2 linked regions of the Arabidopsis thaliana genome follow. The protein of the gene in region 2 interacts with the protein of the main gene of each other region in a pairwise test. Each region holds a gene or a part of one and is shown on either strand. Other genes may lie near its edges.

What was found.
Region 1: the proteins of SUC2 (region 2) and AT4G32900 interact in a protein complementation assay, tested with the Arabidopsis thaliana proteins (one large-scale study listed by BioGRID).

Annotation. Positions count from the first base shown.
Region 1 is NC_003075.7:15,876,310-15,884,963, forward strand, and holds AT4G32900 (Peptidyl-tRNA hydrolase II (PTH2) family protein), read right to left. Parts: upstream 4,733-8,654; 5' UTR 4,671-4,732; coding exon 4,629-4,670; intron 4,057-4,628; coding exon 3,856-4,056; intron 3,574-3,855; coding exon 3,513-3,573; intron 3,441-3,512; coding exon 3,404-3,440; intron 3,315-3,403; coding exon 3,237-3,314; coding exon of another isoform or gene 3,233-3,236; exon of another isoform or gene 3,229-3,232; intron 3,110-3,228; coding exon 3,037-3,109; coding exon of another isoform or gene 3,022-3,036; exon of another isoform or gene 2,803-3,021; coding exon 2,763-2,802; intron 2,685-2,762; coding exon 2,635-2,684; 3' UTR 2,260-2,634; downstream 1-2,259. Other genes in the region: GATA9 (GATA transcription factor 9), read left to right, coding at 1-306; AT4G32910 (nuclear pore complex Nup85-like protein), read left to right, coding at 5,055-5,431, 5,558-5,660, 5,787-5,897, 5,984-6,067, 6,156-6,227, 6,322-6,378, 6,511-6,630, 6,712-6,912 and 9 more.
Region 2 is NC_003070.9:8,027,343-8,036,310, reverse strand, and holds SUC2 (sucrose-proton symporter 2), read left to right. Parts: upstream 1-3,154; 5' UTR 3,155-3,340; coding exon 3,341-4,597; intron 4,598-4,742; coding exon 4,743-4,806; intron 4,807-5,093; coding exon 5,094-5,137; intron 5,138-5,226; coding exon 5,227-5,400; 3' UTR 5,401-5,724; downstream 5,725-8,968. Other genes in the region: AT1G22700 (Tetratricopeptide repeat (TPR)-like superfamily protein), read left to right, coding at 6,433-6,555, 6,787-6,823, 6,912-7,225, 7,478-7,624, 7,704-7,988; AT1G22690 (Gibberellin-regulated family protein), read right to left, coding at 8,350-8,531, 8,627-8,687, 8,776-8,829, 8,921-8,968. UniProt on the Arabidopsis thaliana protein: Responsible for the transport of sucrose into the cell, with the concomitant uptake of protons (symport system).

The DNA.
Region 1 (8,654 bases), on a different chromosome or scaffold from region 2:
CCGCAATGGAGGACGGGACCTATGGGTCCGAAGACGCTTTGTAACGCTTGCGGAGTGAGGTACAAATCAGGGAGGCTCGTGCCGGAGTATAGACCGGCGTCGAGTCCGACGTTCGTGATGGCGAGGCACTCGAACTCTCACCGGAAAGTGATGGAGCTCCGGCGACAGAAGGAGATGAGAGACGAGCATTTGCTGAGTCAGCTTAGGTGTGAGAATCTACTGATGGATATCAGATCCAACGGTGAAGATTTCTTAATGCATAATAATACTAACCACGTGGCTCCTGATTTTAGACACTTAATCTAGTTTTCTATTTCCACGTGGATAATTTCGCAATAATTTGTTCGTTTCGTTTAGCTTTATTTTTTTTTTTTTCCTTTTTAACATTTGTTTTTCATTTTCTGCAGACTACTTCTAGTACTATTGATATATTTGATAGCTTTTGTTTTTGCTCTTCGACTTCCCGAAATTTTAATTAGAAAGTTTATAAAATAAGAGAAATATGGTAGAAATAAAGGAGTTAATTAATGATATACATATCAATCTATTTCTGGTTTTTAATACTAGTCACGAAAATAATTGAATCCAACTAGAACCCAAAATAAAAAATTCCAAATAGTTGTTATTTCCCTTTCTCTACTGTTTTTATTTTCATAAAGTGTTAAGCGTGTTATGAATTTGGTTGCAATCGTCGTGTGTGATTAAGAACAATATATTCCATTCAATTTAAAATCAAATTCAAATAAAAAAGTAAAAAACGTTCTTATTCACCCAAAACACTGGGATCCGGAAGCTTAATAATTATTCACAGATGGGTTATTATAATTTATCAAACTTAATTATTCTCTGAATTTTAACTTCTTTCACGTTTTACATTCTGACAATATTCGAGGAAATCTGATGCTGTAATATTAATCTGAAATATATTTAGTATAGTAAAGGGACAAATACAAATTTGCACAGCACAAAAGTCATATAGAAATATTATTTAATTTAAATAAAGGGAAATGGAGCATAGATTGAGGTGCTCGTCACATGCATTCTCATGCAAACCTAACCAGCAAGTGGGCGAATTTATGATGTATAGTGTAGTATTATATAGCTATAATATCAAAATGGTCCTCTTCTTAACCAACATTCAATATTTTATTTTGATAGAGATATATAGGTAAAGGTCCACGGACTGTACTTGTAATGTCTAATTTCTTTTGGTTTAAGCGATCCTTATTATTAGATTTTTCTATGCACAAACAATTCTTATCACTCCATTCAACTTTACACGTTGAAAATTCAGTAATTTACCAAATGGTAGGCTGCCTTGAATTCCTTTTACAAAAGCCTATGCATTCCACTGTAAATGAGATATGTAATACTAAAACTCGTCGAAATTTCTCTCACTGTTTGTTCTTTTGTTTGTTAACTACCATCCAAACATAACTTAGAAACTGATAAACATTGATGATTATTTGGTTTTAAACATTAGATAATGTTGTTTATGTTGGTTTATATCATATCCAAAAAGAAAAGAAAAGAATACGTAAAAGCACACATATATCTAAATATTATGGAGTCATGTGAGTATGTTGCGTATACAGTATGCCATGTGATGCATATAGATATTTATATATAATAATGTGGAATCATAACGGTCCAACGTAGCGAGCTGAACTTTGGGGAAGACTTCGACGTCACTCAAAGAAAGTATCAAAAAGAAATCAATTCCAAAGTCACCCTATATGTTACATAAAAAAAAAGAAAGAATATAAAACTTAAAACATGAGAAGGACGATATAAGCTATATAAACACACATATATACTATATACAAAACGAAATAGACATAAGTAAAAACACTAATAAGAATCATTTCTAACAAAAGCACTGAGACATGTACGTACTAGAAATTGAGGTAGTACGACGGGAAAAAGGTGTCACCGTCACAGTACGTTTCTAGTAATGTCCGGAAGCTTTTTTCAATTACGAGAGAGTCAGAACAACTAGTATTGTTAGATTCTCTTAAAAATCATTACATATCAGTACAGGGAAAATATTAGATCTTTGATCGAAAGAAATTTGCCTATTACAAATAGAGTAGAAAATAAATGATATGACGATTTATTTAAGCTTTTTTAAAGATTAATATTAACGACCAAAATAATATATATACCACGATTATGATTTTTATTAACCTTTTATTTTGTAAAAAAAATACACTGTTAAAATTTTAACTTATTCAAGTTTTTGTGGAAGTCTACTATTGACTGCCGAGGGATCAATATAGCCCAGTGCTATCGGTTAGACCGATCAATCTTGGCACTCATGTATATGAGAATGTTTCCTTTATTAGTTAAAATATTGTTATTTTAACTATGAAATTCTGGTTGTTACTTTGGTTTTGGAAGCCAATACCCTATACTACAGCGGTAAAAACTTGAAAGTGTCAGAATGTAATCGAAATTTACATGAATTCAACTCCAAAAAACCGGTGGAAGAACTACTACAAGCAAATTAACCAACAACAAATCTAACATGTACCTTGAATAATCATTACACAACAACATTGCCTTGCCTGAATTAACCTTAATCCTGGAGAAATCAAAATCCCAGAGGAACTACGCCAAGAAAAAGCTCCTGAATCAGAGTAAAGCCAGCCTACCAGTTATGGAATCAACCAACTCCTTTGGTCCTGCACAAGAAAAGTAATGAACATGTTGAGGAACAACATCTTAGCTAAAACCGAATTTCAAAAAATTATTGTCTCTACCAGGTCCAACTGCAAGAACTGTTCTTGATCCAGCCGCAACCTGTTAAAGGAAGAGTTTTAGTTTCCAGAGAAACTTGTTAGCGTACTACTACCACAGAAAATTCACAAATAATTTTCATTCAAGAGCAGTCTTTTCGTGTTTCAATAGGTCGGATGGTGTTTATGTCTTCTATAGTTCTAACTATTTGATTAGTAGAAACTTTTAGATTTTCTTTTGAATAGGAGGAGCTCTGATTATACTTTCAGCCTCAATAATTGATCAAGCACGACAAACCTCAGTTCTTCCAGCATCAGCTACAACAAAAGTCGGGAGGCCAACGCTCTCAGCAGCCTCTGTGATCTTATTCCTGTGAGCAGAAAAGATAAATGTAGCTTTCAAATTTATTGAAGACAACTTATTAACATTTGTAGTAAAGTAATAATATGTCTTGAAGTGCGTTTTGTTTGTATCCCCCAAGATTTTCACCTGCTTACATTTCTTGCTGGTTTTTGCAAGTGACGACTATCTTTGGCTGCCCATTTTCCTCCCATCGCCGCAGAAGGTATCGGTCACTGAAAGAATTAAGATGAAAACAAAAAAAAACATAAACCCCGGACTGATGCATCATACAAAGCAAACAACTCATTTCAGACGAAATTACCTCTGCATCAACTCTGCATACATGCCGGTGGCAGCATCTGCGAATATTAAAAAGAAAGTCATTTTACTTCCAGTGTTCAAATTTCAAACACATTTCATAAGACACTTACGTGCACACTGTGACGCAATTTTGCCCGTTCTCATCTTCAAGTCTTGCCTAACTACCAGTACCTGTGATCAGAACAAGCTCAAATTAGTTACACAAATGTTCTGATTTTAACTTGTAATCTAAAAATCTGACATCATTGAAAACTCATCACCATCCTTGTATAGATTATGCAAGTCTCTTTTATGAAGCTAAAATTTCAATCATTTGATGGGTTTGGAACATAAATCAGCTTGCATTATCACTAGGTTTTGTTATAAGGATTTAAGTTATAATATTTTACTCCAAACCAATAAAATCTAGGGGCAGAGACAAGAGACTATCGTTACACTAGATGATAGACAAACCATTTTAAGCTCTTGGTCCTTGCCATTGCCTGGTACAGAACTCTGCTTCTGGACCTTGCTGGATAAAAGTCTGCTCCTTTTCACTGGGGAGGTCACTTGCTGTGATAAATCCAATATCATACCTATGATGAATCCTATCACAACCCCTGGTATGAGATTCTCTGCTCTAAAACTCACAGATATCGACTTCTTTTCTTGTCTCTGATCATATTCACCGGAAAAAAAAAAACAATGATACATTTTTAACTGTCCAACAAGAATGCTGGTTTAGTAAGCTACAAGAAAATTTCAGAACATGACCGAAACAACCGAGTAAATAAGCTCGTTTGTTGCAGTCTCAGTAAGATTTTAGAGACAAAAACATGATAAATTCTCGTTTGGGTGGTGAGAACTGAGAGGCAAACATTCAAATTTACACCACAAATCTCTCAATTTTATTTGCCAAATCAACCATAGACATACATATAAGAAACTTGTGCACTATAAAGCCAAACACTTACACTTAAAGCAAAGTACACTATTAAGAAAGAATCAGACTTTGACTCTTTGAGCTTAACTGATCTTACATCAATAACCAAAAGAAGAAAGAGCTCAGAATTTGTAATTTGTTTAGTTTCAAGTTTTCCAATTCACTAGCCAACTGATGCCATTCGGAAGTTTTGATCAAACTAGACTCAATTCCTCAGCCCGAGATAAATTTTGACAAAAAAGAAGCAACAAAACTAAGAACAAATTATCAACAGAAAAGACGGAAAATAAGTCGAAATCAATACCATAGCTTGAGGCTGCGAAGAGTTTCGAGACGAAGGCCACATGATACGCTTCTGGAGATTCTCCAAGGCGACAGAGGAACAAAGCTAAGCCTTTAAAATCGAATGCCCATGAGTATGATGAAGAAGGGAGATAAGAGCAGCCTTAGTAACCGTAAACGTCAGGGTGTTCATATCTCTGATTACAAAACGACGCGTTGTTTGGGGCTTAATGTACATTCTGGAAAAATACATGGTCCAATTAGAAAAGTTTTAACAGTATATAGCTACTAATGTAATTACTATAGAATATCTCTCGAACACACGGTGCGTTTTACTGTCGTCGCTCCTTTTTGTTGGTCTGTTTCCACTTCAGTTCTTCTCCCTCCGGAAAAGCTACAACCCCAATCTAAAACCCTAACGGCCATTTCTACCATCGGAGCTCCGAAAATGCCGGGTATGTCTTCGGAATCTGGCGGTGGAGAATTGGTTCTGTTTTCGACCAAGGAAAAAACTCCGGTGTTGTATCCTCTAAGCTATGGCCTCAAGTCTCCGGTTCACAGGCTCTCCATCTCCTGGGGTTGCGGAAACAACCTACGCGTCACGGTTTTAAGGAATCCAGAGTTACGCGATGATGACGACGGAGAAGTTGGTGGTAAGGTCGTAAACGTTAGGCTTAGCGGCGAGGATGGCGAAATCAGTGACCCACAGTGGCGAAGGATCGCTTATGGATCGGTATCTCCGTTCGCGCTTTTGCAGAGCAGAAGAAACTCAATTTCCAGTTTGTCTAAGATGGATATGAGTTCCTCTCTGTATCAGACTGCGTGGTGAGTATCTTCTTTGTAAATTCCCAGATTTTGCCCATTCAATACTGAAATACTGTTTTGGATTATCTTATGATTAGACTTCTAAAGCGTGTTTGAGCAATTCTGGATTGTCGTAATTTTAATCAGGTGGGAGTACGTAATGGAATACAGCAGAGATATTAAATCTCTCCTTAGTAATACAATATCTTTGCCCGCTCCTTTGATTGAAGACCCGAGATCAGTTATAAAGGTACGTTGGTCTTTCTGGTTCTACAATTGGTTAACTTTACTTGTAAATTTAACTCCTCCGCGAGTGAGGTATAGGTTTGAGTGTGGAGCTTTGTTAATGGATGTTCCTGTTAACATACATATGCAGAATGCTGAGGAACCAACTTCTTTAAAGGCTGCGTGGGAGTTGATGGAATTATTTTATGCAGATAAGACATGTCTGTCTTGGTTGCCAGAACGGCTCGTTGATTGGTTATCTGTAATTAGTTTTTACCTTCGACACTTGAGCTATCTTATTTTTTTAAACTTCTAGTGTTTTCTTACCTACCATTTATAACATGGCAGGAATACGATATACTCCTTTCTAGCTCACATCCAACAATCTACTCAAAGCTCCAGGATTTCCAAAAGGAACTTGTTGGCCTGCAGGTTTGCTCATCTCTAAGAAGTCGATAGTTCTCAGAAAATAAGTGATTGAAGAACCTGACTTTCTTAACGGGGTTATGTGCCATTGCAGGCCATCGAGGATGATCCAAGATACTGGGAAGTGATGGCTTCTGCTTTATCAGTTGGTTGGCTAGAAATAGTGGTTAGTACTTTTTTTTTGGGATTGGGGGTTCTTTGTAATTTGATCTTGAATGTTACAATTTGAGAAATGTTCTGCCCATACTTTTTATTTTCAGGTGAAGTTGTTACACCTACATGGTTCTTATCAACTAGACCAGCTGGGACATCGTGAGGTTAGAATGAAGTTGTTCATGTTTAGGTCCTTTGGGATTTATGTCATATGAAGTGACTAGCTACGTGCTAGTACTTTTGTATATGCACAGATTTCTGATTATTCATAATGTAATACAAATTTAATGAAATAGACAGAAAATGGTTTGGTAGAAGCGGTTGCTGTTCTCATTTCAAAAATGCCACGAATGCGGCCACAACTAGAAGATGGGAAATTTGGTGAATGCTCTGCAGCAAAGCCTGACTTTATGAAGGTATTTTAGAAACATGTATCATTCTAACTCTTTTTATTGTATCTGATTATGTGTCTAGACTCATCTTGCCGTTTTTGCCAGACACGAGAAAGATGGCAGTCTCAGATAACTAAACTAGAGTGCAGTGCCTTCTGGGTTCAATGTGCTCACCATCAGACCCGTGAGGGCTTGAGAAATATGTTGAAGATCATGATAGGAAATGCTGATTGCCTCAGAGCTGCGACATGTAACTGGATGGAGCTTTTTGTTTCACATCTTCTTTATCTCAGGCCATTTACGAAGGTGGATTGCTTTACCTGCTGTTTGTCTATTTAAATTCGAGTCTTGCTATCATTCTAATATTAAACTTGAAAATCAAATTAATACCATTTTGCATTGCAGGGATTAGATGGCATGCATAGCCTAGCCCAGAAGTGTGTTCAGTCAAAGCCAGTTAACACTTCCCATAAGCTTCTAAGACTGCTTATTGGAATTCTTGGAGAAAATACTGAGGTCAGTAGTACATCTTATACCTAGTCAGAGGTGCAACTGTTTCAGCTCTTCGCCACTTTCTAATCCAGCATGGTGTAATTAAATGATGCAGGTTGTTCTGGCAGAGTGTTCCAAAGAATTTGGCTCCTGGTAGGCAGGCGATGTTTGTTTCTGGTTACTAAGTTTATTGAGTACGCTATACTCTTATCTATATGAATCAGGACGAGACTTTTCATGTTTTTGTTAGGATGGTTGCACATGCCATGGAATTATTGACAGCTGGAAGCGAAGAAGGAGAAGTTCTTGTACATGAGGAACAGCGTAAGTTGGGTGGAATTAACATGGAAGAGCTCCATAGACTTGTTTATGCTCAAGTTCTTTCTTCTCATGCTTTGACTTGGCAGGTACCTTTCTTTTATGACTTATCAAGTACCTTCCCTGTAATCAAATCGGCACCTTTCTTATTGCGCTTCTTGTTATATCAAACTCTTCCATATTGTGTTTGAAATTTGCAGATAGCTCCTATTTATCTAGCATCGTGCGAGAAACAGGGATTAGGCTTATTAGAGCTGTTGTTCTACAGGCAGCCTGTTCAAGAGAATCAGATGCTTATTAAGGTTTCATTATTTCAGTTGCATTTGTACATCAATTCTAGTTCTGGTTTGTCGTTTACAATTCTAGGATCTTGTCAGAAGCCTTCACCTGGTACTTATGTTTCTCCTGTTGCAGAGCCTAGAGATTTGCCGTCTCTATGAACTCAGTAATGTCAGTGCTAAACTAATGAAGGTATTGATATATTGAGGCACTATTTTACGCTTGTATTCTCTAATCTCCAAATTGGGCGGAAAAAGGAAAAACAGATTTAATCTGAAGTTATGGTTTTCAGATTTCTGGAGTGCATCATTGGAAACATGGGAGGAAAGGCTCAGGGATTTTCTGGCTCCAGCAAGCTCGGGACGAAAATTGTCTCAGCGTGATTGCTCAACAGCTGTTTGATTCTGTTGGAAAATCATTGTCTGATGAAAGTCTCAAGGTATATATTCTCTAAGACATACTCAAAGCAAATTTCAGTATATAATTTCACTGTGGGTTCTTCTATCTGTGCCCTAGATGACGTTGTTTCATTTCATACATGCAGCAATGGGAAGGCCTAGTCGAGTTGCTGGGTTCGGAATCACAGATCTCTGGTGGTCTCGATTTTCTTCACAAGTAATTTGTCATCTCTTACTCTCTATGAAAATGACTTGTTTTTGTAAAAATCTACCCTACATTATTAATTGATTATTGATGCCATACATTCCAGGTATAGAGATTTCAAGAGATCGCTGAAGGTAGTCCATGATGGAAAAACTATAGATGCAGCTCATGAAGCCGTAGAGAGACTTGTATCGGTGTGTAGTACATCTTTCTTACACATTTTTCTCCACTGAATATTGTGAATTAATGCTATTTGAATTACTGCAGCTAATGAAGAGCCCTTCTACTCCTCAACGCTTCTGGCTTCCTCTTCTGCATGATTCAGTAGATAACCAAATCTTGTTTTCTTTCCTTTT
Region 2 (8,968 bases):
GATATATTTTGGAGTACAATTTATACTTTACGTTTTGCCCTACTTTGGAGTGTTTTTAGAGCTTTTTTCTTTCTTTTTTTCAAAGTGGACGACTGAAACATGTAATTCATGTTTGTGATACTGATTAGGAAAATTTCATAAATCTAAATCGCCAACAATTTTTAATAAAATACACACGGCTGTTTCGAAACTTTTTCAAGATACATATCGATTAAAATTTCAAATCCGAAAAATAATGGTTTTTATGATATAACTAAACCGTTGGACTAAAAATGGGCCGAAATAACATGTTAATATTAACGGCCGCAAACTATTGCTTGATCCGCTTGGCCCATTGGACGACTTTGTTTGTAAATGTCCGAATATTTTTTCAAGATATTTATGTATTTGGTACTTCAAATCTAGTACCCAAGCCTTAGATCATTAAAATTTAGAACTCAGTATATAACTAATGCCATTTTTTATTTTTGGATTCGATATTTTTTTTTTTAGTGTAATATTAAATTATATTTAAAAAAACAAATATACGTTTTTATAATTTGTGCTTCGTATGTTTGAAAAAGTAAGCTCTAAAGATTTCTGATGATTTTTCGAAAATGTTTAAAGAAAATGTTTAAACAAGCTAAGAGTCGAGGTTAACTAGTCATGGGAGTGAATCCAGTTTTAAATAGGCATCGTCATACTGCTTGTCGCCTAATAATCGTATTGCTGAAATCAGATTTCGAATTTGTTTATCAACCCATATGGTGATACCCTTTATATTATGATCCCACGCACCTCAAAAATTTCGGCGTTGGATTCATGTCACTCCTAGCTAGCAACCTCAGGGCTCGCAGTATCCCATTCGTCTTAATTAGTTAAGATTTTTTTTAAAAATTTATTTTGTTCAGTTATTATTCATTTCATTCGAACGATTAAACAAAGATTATTATGGTCTCGTGATTTATATGTTGACCCTTCTAATATTCTAAATTTAAAAATAAGAAAAAAGAGGAAAATTGAGGCAAAACACATGTTGCCGAGTCATTATCAACTAGGGGTGCATAATGATGGAACAAAGCACAAATCTTTTAACGCAAACTAACTACAACCTTCTTTTGGGGTCCCCATCCCCGACCCTAATGTTTTGGAATTAATAAAACTACAATCACTTACCAAAAAATAAAAGTTCAAGGCCACTATAATTTCTCATATGAACCTACATTTATAAATAAAATCTGGTTTCATATTAATTTCACACACCAAGTTACTTTCTATTATTAACTGTTATAATGGACCATGAAATCATTTGCATATGAACTGCAATGATACATAATCCACTTTGTTTTGTGGGAGACATTTACCAGATTTCGGTAAATTGGTATTCCCCCTTTTATGTGATTGGTCATTGATCATTGTTAGTGGCCAGACATTTGAACTCCCGTTTTTTTGTCTATAAGAATTCGGAAACATATAGTATCCTTTGAAAACGGAGAAACAAATAACAATGTGGACAAACTAGATATAATTTCAACACAAGACTATGGGAATGATTTTACCCACTAATTATAATCCGATCACAAGGTTTCAACGAACTAGTTTTCCAGATATCAACCAAATTTACTTTGGAATTAAACTAACTTAAAACTAATTGGTTGTTCGTAAATGGTGCTTTTTTTTTTTGCGGATGTTAGTAAAGGGTTTTATGTATTTTATATTATTAGTTATCTGTTTTCAGTGTTATGTTGTCTCATCCATAAAGTTTATATGTTTTTTCTTTGCTCTATAACTTATATATATATATGAGTTTACAGTTATATTTATACATTTCAGATACTTGATCGGCATTTTTTTTGGTAAAAAATATATGCATGAAAAACTCAAGTGTTTCTTTTTTAAGGAATTTTTAAATGGTGATTATATGAATATAATCATATGTATATCCGTATATATATGTAGCCAGATAGTTAATTATTTGGGGGATATTTGAATTATTAATGTTATAATATTCTTTCTTTTGACTCGTCTGGTTAAATTAAAGAACAAAAAAAACACATACTTTTACTGTTTTAAAAGGTTAAATTAACATAATTTATTGATTACAAGTGTCAAGTCCATGACATTGCATGTAGGTTCGAGACTTCAGAGATAACGGAAGAGATCGATAATTGTGATCGTAACATCCAGATATGTATGTTTAATTTTCATTTAGATGTGGATCAGAGAAGATAAGTCAAACTGTCTTCATAATTTAAGACAACCTCTTTTAATATTTTCCCAAAACATGTTTTATGTAACTACTTTGCTTATGTGATTGCCTGAGGATACTATTATTCTCTGTCTTTATTCTCTTCACACCACATTTAAATAGTTTAAGAGCATAGAAATTAATTATTTTCAAAAAGGTGATTATATGCATGCAAAATAGCACACCATTTATGTTTATATTTTCAAATTATTTAATACATTTCAATATTTCATAAGTGTGATTTTTTTTTTTTTTGTCAATTTCATAAGTGTGATTTGTCATTTGTATTAAACAATTGTATCGCGCAGTACAAATAAACAGTGGGAGAGGTGAAAATGCAGTTATAAAACTGTCCAATAATTTACTAACACATTTAAATATCTAAAAAGAGTGTTTCAAAAAAAATTCTTTTGAAATAAGAAAAGTGATAGATATTTTTACGCTTTCGTCTGAAAATAAAACAATAATAGTTTATTAGAAAAATGTTATCACCGAAAATTATTCTAGTGCCACTCGCTCGGATCGAAATTCGAAAGTTATATTCTTTCTCTTTACCTAATATAAAAATCACAAGAAAAATCAATCCGAATATATCTATCAACATAGTATATGCCCTTACATATTGTTTCTGACTTTTCTCTATCCGAATTTCTCGCTTCATGGTTTTTTTTTAACATATTCTCATTTAATTTTCATTACTATTATATAACTAAAAGATGGAAATAAAATAAAGTGTCTTTGAGAATCGAACGTCCATATCAGTAAGATAGTTTGTGTGAAGGTAAAATCTAAAAGATTTAAGTTCCAAAAACAGAAAATAATATATTACGCTAAAAAAGAAGAAAATAATTAAATACAAAACAGAAAAAAATAATATACGACAGACACGTGTCACGAAGATACCCTACGCTATAGACACAGCTCTGTTTTCTCTTTTCTATGCCTCAAGGCTCTCTTAACTTCACTGTCTCCTCTTCGGATAATCCTATCCTTCTCTTCCTATAAATACCTCTCCACTCTTCCTCTTCCTCCACCACTACAACCACCGCAACAACCACCAAAAACCCTCTCAAAGAAATTTCTTTTTTTTCTTACTTTCTTGGTTTGTCAAATATGGTCAGCCATCCAATGGAGAAAGCTGCAAATGGTGCGTCTGCGTTGGAAACGCAGACGGGTGAGTTAGATCAGCCGGAACGGCTTCGTAAGATCATATCGGTGTCTTCCATTGCCGCCGGTGTACAGTTCGGTTGGGCTTTACAGTTATCTCTGTTGACTCCTTACGTGCAGCTACTCGGAATCCCACATAAATGGGCTTCTCTGATTTGGCTCTGTGGTCCAATCTCCGGTATGCTTGTTCAGCCTATCGTCGGTTACCACAGTGACCGTTGCACCTCAAGATTCGGCCGTCGTCGTCCCTTCATCGTCGCTGGAGCTGGTTTAGTCACCGTTGCTGTTTTCCTTATCGGTTACGCTGCCGATATAGGTCACAGCATGGGCGATCAGCTTGACAAACCGCCGAAAACGCGAGCCATAGCGATATTCGCTCTCGGGTTTTGGATTCTTGACGTGGCTAACAACACCTTACAAGGACCCTGCAGAGCTTTCTTGGCTGATTTATCAGCAGGGAACGCTAAGAAAACGCGAACCGCAAACGCGTTTTTCTCGTTTTTCATGGCGGTTGGAAACGTTTTGGGTTACGCTGCGGGATCTTACAGAAATCTCTACAAAGTTGTGCCTTTCACGATGACTGAGTCATGCGATCTCTACTGCGCAAACCTCAAAACGTGTTTTTTCCTATCCATAACGCTTCTCCTCATAGTCACTTTCGTATCTCTCTGTTACGTGAAGGAGAAGCCATGGACGCCAGAGCCAACAGCCGATGGAAAAGCCTCCAACGTTCCGTTTTTCGGAGAAATCTTCGGAGCTTTCAAGGAACTAAAAAGACCCATGTGGATGCTTCTTATAGTCACTGCACTAAACTGGATCGCTTGGTTCCCTTTCCTTCTCTTCGACACTGATTGGATGGGCCGTGAGGTGTACGGAGGAAACTCAGACGCAACCGCAACCGCAGCCTCTAAGAAGCTTTACAACGACGGAGTCAGAGCTGGTGCTTTGGGGCTTATGCTTAACGCTATTGTTCTTGGTTTCATGTCTCTTGGTGTTGAATGGATTGGTCGGAAATTGGGAGGAGCTAAAAGGCTTTGGGGTATTGTTAACTTCATCCTCGCCATTTGCTTGGCCATGACGGTTGTGGTTACGAAACAAGCTGAGAATCACCGACGAGATCACGGCGGCGCTAAAACAGGTCCACCTGGTAACGTCACAGCTGGTGCTTTAACTCTCTTCGCCATCCTCGGTATCCCCCAAGCCGTAAGTATCTCTCTCTCTGTTTTTTTTTTTGTTTATCCATTGGCTAATTATTTTAGTACTATATCTGATTTGTCGTTTATAATAAGGAAAGAAGTAAATCAATAACCTAATTTGATGAATTTTTTTTCATTTTTATTAACTGCAGATTACGTTTAGCATTCCTTTTGCACTAGCTTCCATATTTTCAACCAATTCCGGTGCCGGCCAAGGTAAATATTCTATTTTTGAGCTTTTTATTTAATCTAAAATTACCCTTTTTGTTTTGGATAATCAAAGTCGACAATCTTCTTAAAGTGTTGGGACCTAAAAAAGCTAAAAGCATTTAATACGTGCAGATTCGTAATTTAATAACTTATTGAGAAGATTCTATAAGTAACCAATATTTATATATTCGTTTGAGTGACCATATATACGCGATATACCAAATTTACAATTTCTATAGCCTACGAAAATTTGTAATCTTGATTCCTAAAGCTTTTTATCTTTTCTTCCACAGGACTTTCCCTAGGTGTTCTGAATCTAGCCATTGTCGTCCCTCAGGTAAAAACCCGTTTAAAATCAGTTTTACTTATTTTCATTTAGGAAAAATTATGACTAATATATATATTTGGTTTCTTGGTTAAATATAGATGGTAATATCTGTGGGAGGTGGACCATTCGACGAACTATTCGGTGGTGGAAACATTCCAGCATTTGTGTTAGGAGCGATTGCGGCAGCGGTAAGTGGTGTATTGGCGTTGACGGTGTTGCCTTCACCGCCTCCGGATGCTCCTGCCTTCAAAGCTACTATGGGATTTCATTGAATTTTAGCAGTGGTTGTTTGGCTCTCTTTCTCTCATAAAACAGTAGTGTTGTGCAAATCCTACATAAAGAAAAAAGAAAAGGAAATTAAACTCATTGGGTTGGTTTGTATTTTACCTAAACCCACGAAGTTCCTTTTTCTTTTTGTAACTCAATTTAAATTTGGAGTATATTTTACTTTTTGTTACCTTCAAGGCTTCAATATTACGACTTCATTGTTCGGTAATAAATACCTCATAAGCTACAAAAGATTATGTAACGATTTAACACAATTATTTTTTTAACAAACAAAAACAACGATCTAAACAGTTCATATTAACTGATTTGATAACTTATTTCACAAAAAAAGTATATGCGAAATACTTACAAAATATCTTTACATTTGATTGTACATATAAAACCAAAACAAGTTTTAAGATGAATGTGGCTAGATACAAAAATTAACGGTGAAATAAGAGCATTCTCGATTTATATGTTTTGTTTTTATCTATTTTAGTTAATTCTTTAATCAAGTTGTTTCACATTTGTTTAACCTGATTTTCCCGTTTCCAATGGATAAACTCGGATTATGAAAGTAACTTGATGTACATGTTTGGTAAGCTTATTGGTCAAAGTATGACAAGCCTTTTCCCCTAAGTATGATAAGTTTTGGGAAATTTTCAGAAAGCACACTCTTTTAAGTTTTAGTTTTTAGATGTATATAACATAACTAATAACATGTATCAAAAGAAGTTTGGAAGAGTTTCTTAATTATTTGTTAAGGTTCTTCCTATATATATATATTCTGAAAAATTCATAAATCTTCCCTAATTAAATAAAAAAGATCCATTAGATAAAACCAAAATGAAATAATATGTAGATTTAAACCGGAAGGTACTAAACCGGAAATTGGAAGAGGCAACGTGGGCCTTATCTTCTTCTTCTTCTTCCTGCTAGATTTTATTCTTTTATCTCTTGAGCACACACACACATACAAGACTCTCCTCACAGAACGATTTAGATTTAATCGGGAAAAAGTTCAGTCAGTGACACTAATGTTCGAATCGAACATGGTTCTTCAAACACTATCTTCTTCTTCTCCTCCAATTCACCGTCTCTATCTTCACCATTCTCAGATTCTCCCTTCTTCTGGGTCACCCAGCAAGATTTCTCTTCAGGTAAACACTCCAAGTTCCTCTCTTTCGCTTCACCCATAGTTTACAATCTCACTGTACTCTAGGGTTTCCTCTGTTTTTTCCCCAATCAAGAATTTTGATTCGTAAATTGTTCTTACGATAGAAGAAGATTATGTGGAATCTGAACAAGAACAGAGTCAAAATTTACCCTTTTATTTTGTTCATGAACTTGCTAATCTTCCTCCTTGTTTTTGAACTTGTGGATGAAGGCAGATACATGGAAGGACTTTGGCCATTCGATCTTTTCATGGTACTTCACTTCTTCTTCCCTGCTTAAAGTTTCATACTTTACTATACATCTAGATGTTTCTGCTTGAGGTTTAGATTGATAGCTTTAGATTATGTCTTTGCAGAAATTTCTGCTAGAGGTTTACCGGCTTTGAACAAAGCTTCCTTGAAGAAGCTACCAATCAAAGGATCTACCTTTCTGCTGGGGCAGAGCTTGTTGATGGTTTCTGCTCACCCACAGTTGGCAGCAGCAGCAGAAATCATAAAGCCTGAACCGATTTACGAAGTTGGAGAGTTATTTGAACTTAGTATTCAGCTTTCTTACTTGCTGTTACTACTGGGGTTGCTTGGAGTTGGTACTTTCTATGTGATCCGTCAAGTACTTGTACGCAGAGAACTAGACCTCTCCGCTAAAGAATTGCAGGTACCAGACAATGTGCTCTTTGTGGTAGAAAACAGTAGGATAAGTAACTGAGATGGAACGAGTCTAGAGTAGAGATGTAATATTGATGTCTCTCGTATCATTGTCTGTCTCTTATCTTTTAATGCTATTCACATAATAATTGTAGATATTATGAACATTAGACTTATTTAAGTAGCTATGCTTGCTCAACGTTTTTGTTAATTTGATCAAATCTGGATGCTATGGTTCTATTGTTGTCTTTATGACCTGAAGGAGCAAGTAAGGAGCGGAGATGCAAGTGCAACAGAGCTCTTTGAGCTTGGTGCAGTGATGTTGAGAAGGAAGTTTTATCCTGCAGCCAACAAGTTTTTGCAACAAGCTATCCAGAAATGGGACGGTGATGATCAAGATCTTGCTCAGGTAATAGACTTTTACACTAATACCGTTACCAAGTAAATAAAAAATCAATTGACACTGCAATATACAATTCCTGAGACAGGTCTATAACGCTCTTGGAGTGAGTTATGTACGAGAGGATAAACTTGACAAAGGAATTGCTCAGTTTGAAATGGCGGTGAAGCTGCAACCCGGTTATGTAACAGCTTGGAACAACCTTGGGGATGCTTATGAGAAGAAGAAGGAGTTGCCTTTGGCATTGAATGCGTTTGAAGAAGTTTTGTTGTTTGATCCAAACAATAAGGTGGCTCGGCCTCGGCGAGATGCGTTGAAGGATCGCGTGAAGCTTTATAAAGGTGTTGTGGCTGTTAAGTCTAAGAAACGGTGACGGCTCAAACAAGATGCAAACTCTGAACCAAGAACCGTTGGTCTCTCTCCCCCTTGTGTATTTTTTTGGTTTGGTAATATGTATGGAGATTTTGTGTTAATATGAAAATGAAACTTTGTTGTTTTTTGTAACCAATAAAATCAGATGTTTAAAACTTAATAGCCATTGTGCCCAAAAAAAAAAAAAAAAAACTTAATAGCCAATAAAATCACTCATCTTATTATTCGGAATCGATACAAATTATATAGTTGAATTATGTCAACAATCAACATAATAATAAGCTCACACATCACACATGCAACATAACAAAAGAAGAAACATAATCAGAAGATGAGACTATAGTTGAGAAATGAGAAGTCTTTTAAGGACATTTGAGTTTATTGCCATGTGTACGGATACTGGCGTAGCAAGGACATGATGCTGTGTTGCCGGAGGTTCCCGGCGGCACACACTGACACTTGGCACAACAACTTCCACAGGCTCTGTGACAAACTTTCTTCCTCGATGTCTTACTGCATCTCCTTGCGCATGCATGCCCACAATCTATAAAAATTGGCTCATTTAATAAAAAAAAGGTTGTGGGGGGCAAAAAAAATACTTAGAACAAAGGAATTAGAGTGTTGAAAGAGTAGACTAACTGATTCTTGGACGATGGTGGTATGTTCTCTTAAACGCCGCAGTTTGGTTCTCGTCATTCGTCTGATTAGCAACAAAAAAAAGAAGCCAACATTTCCTTATATATTACTCTCTTGAAAGTTTGTTTAGTATGTTTTTGTATCACTCTTACCTGAGAAACAGAGGAAGTTTCATTGTTGCTGGATGATGACAACTCTGCAAGTACCTATGAAAGACCAGAGAGATTTTTCATTGTTTTACTTTGGTTTGTCTGAAATAGAGAAAAGGTAGTCTTGAAAATGGTTTTAACAGTTTACCTGAGAAAGCAGAAGAAAAGAGATGATCAGCGTAACAAAAGCCACCAC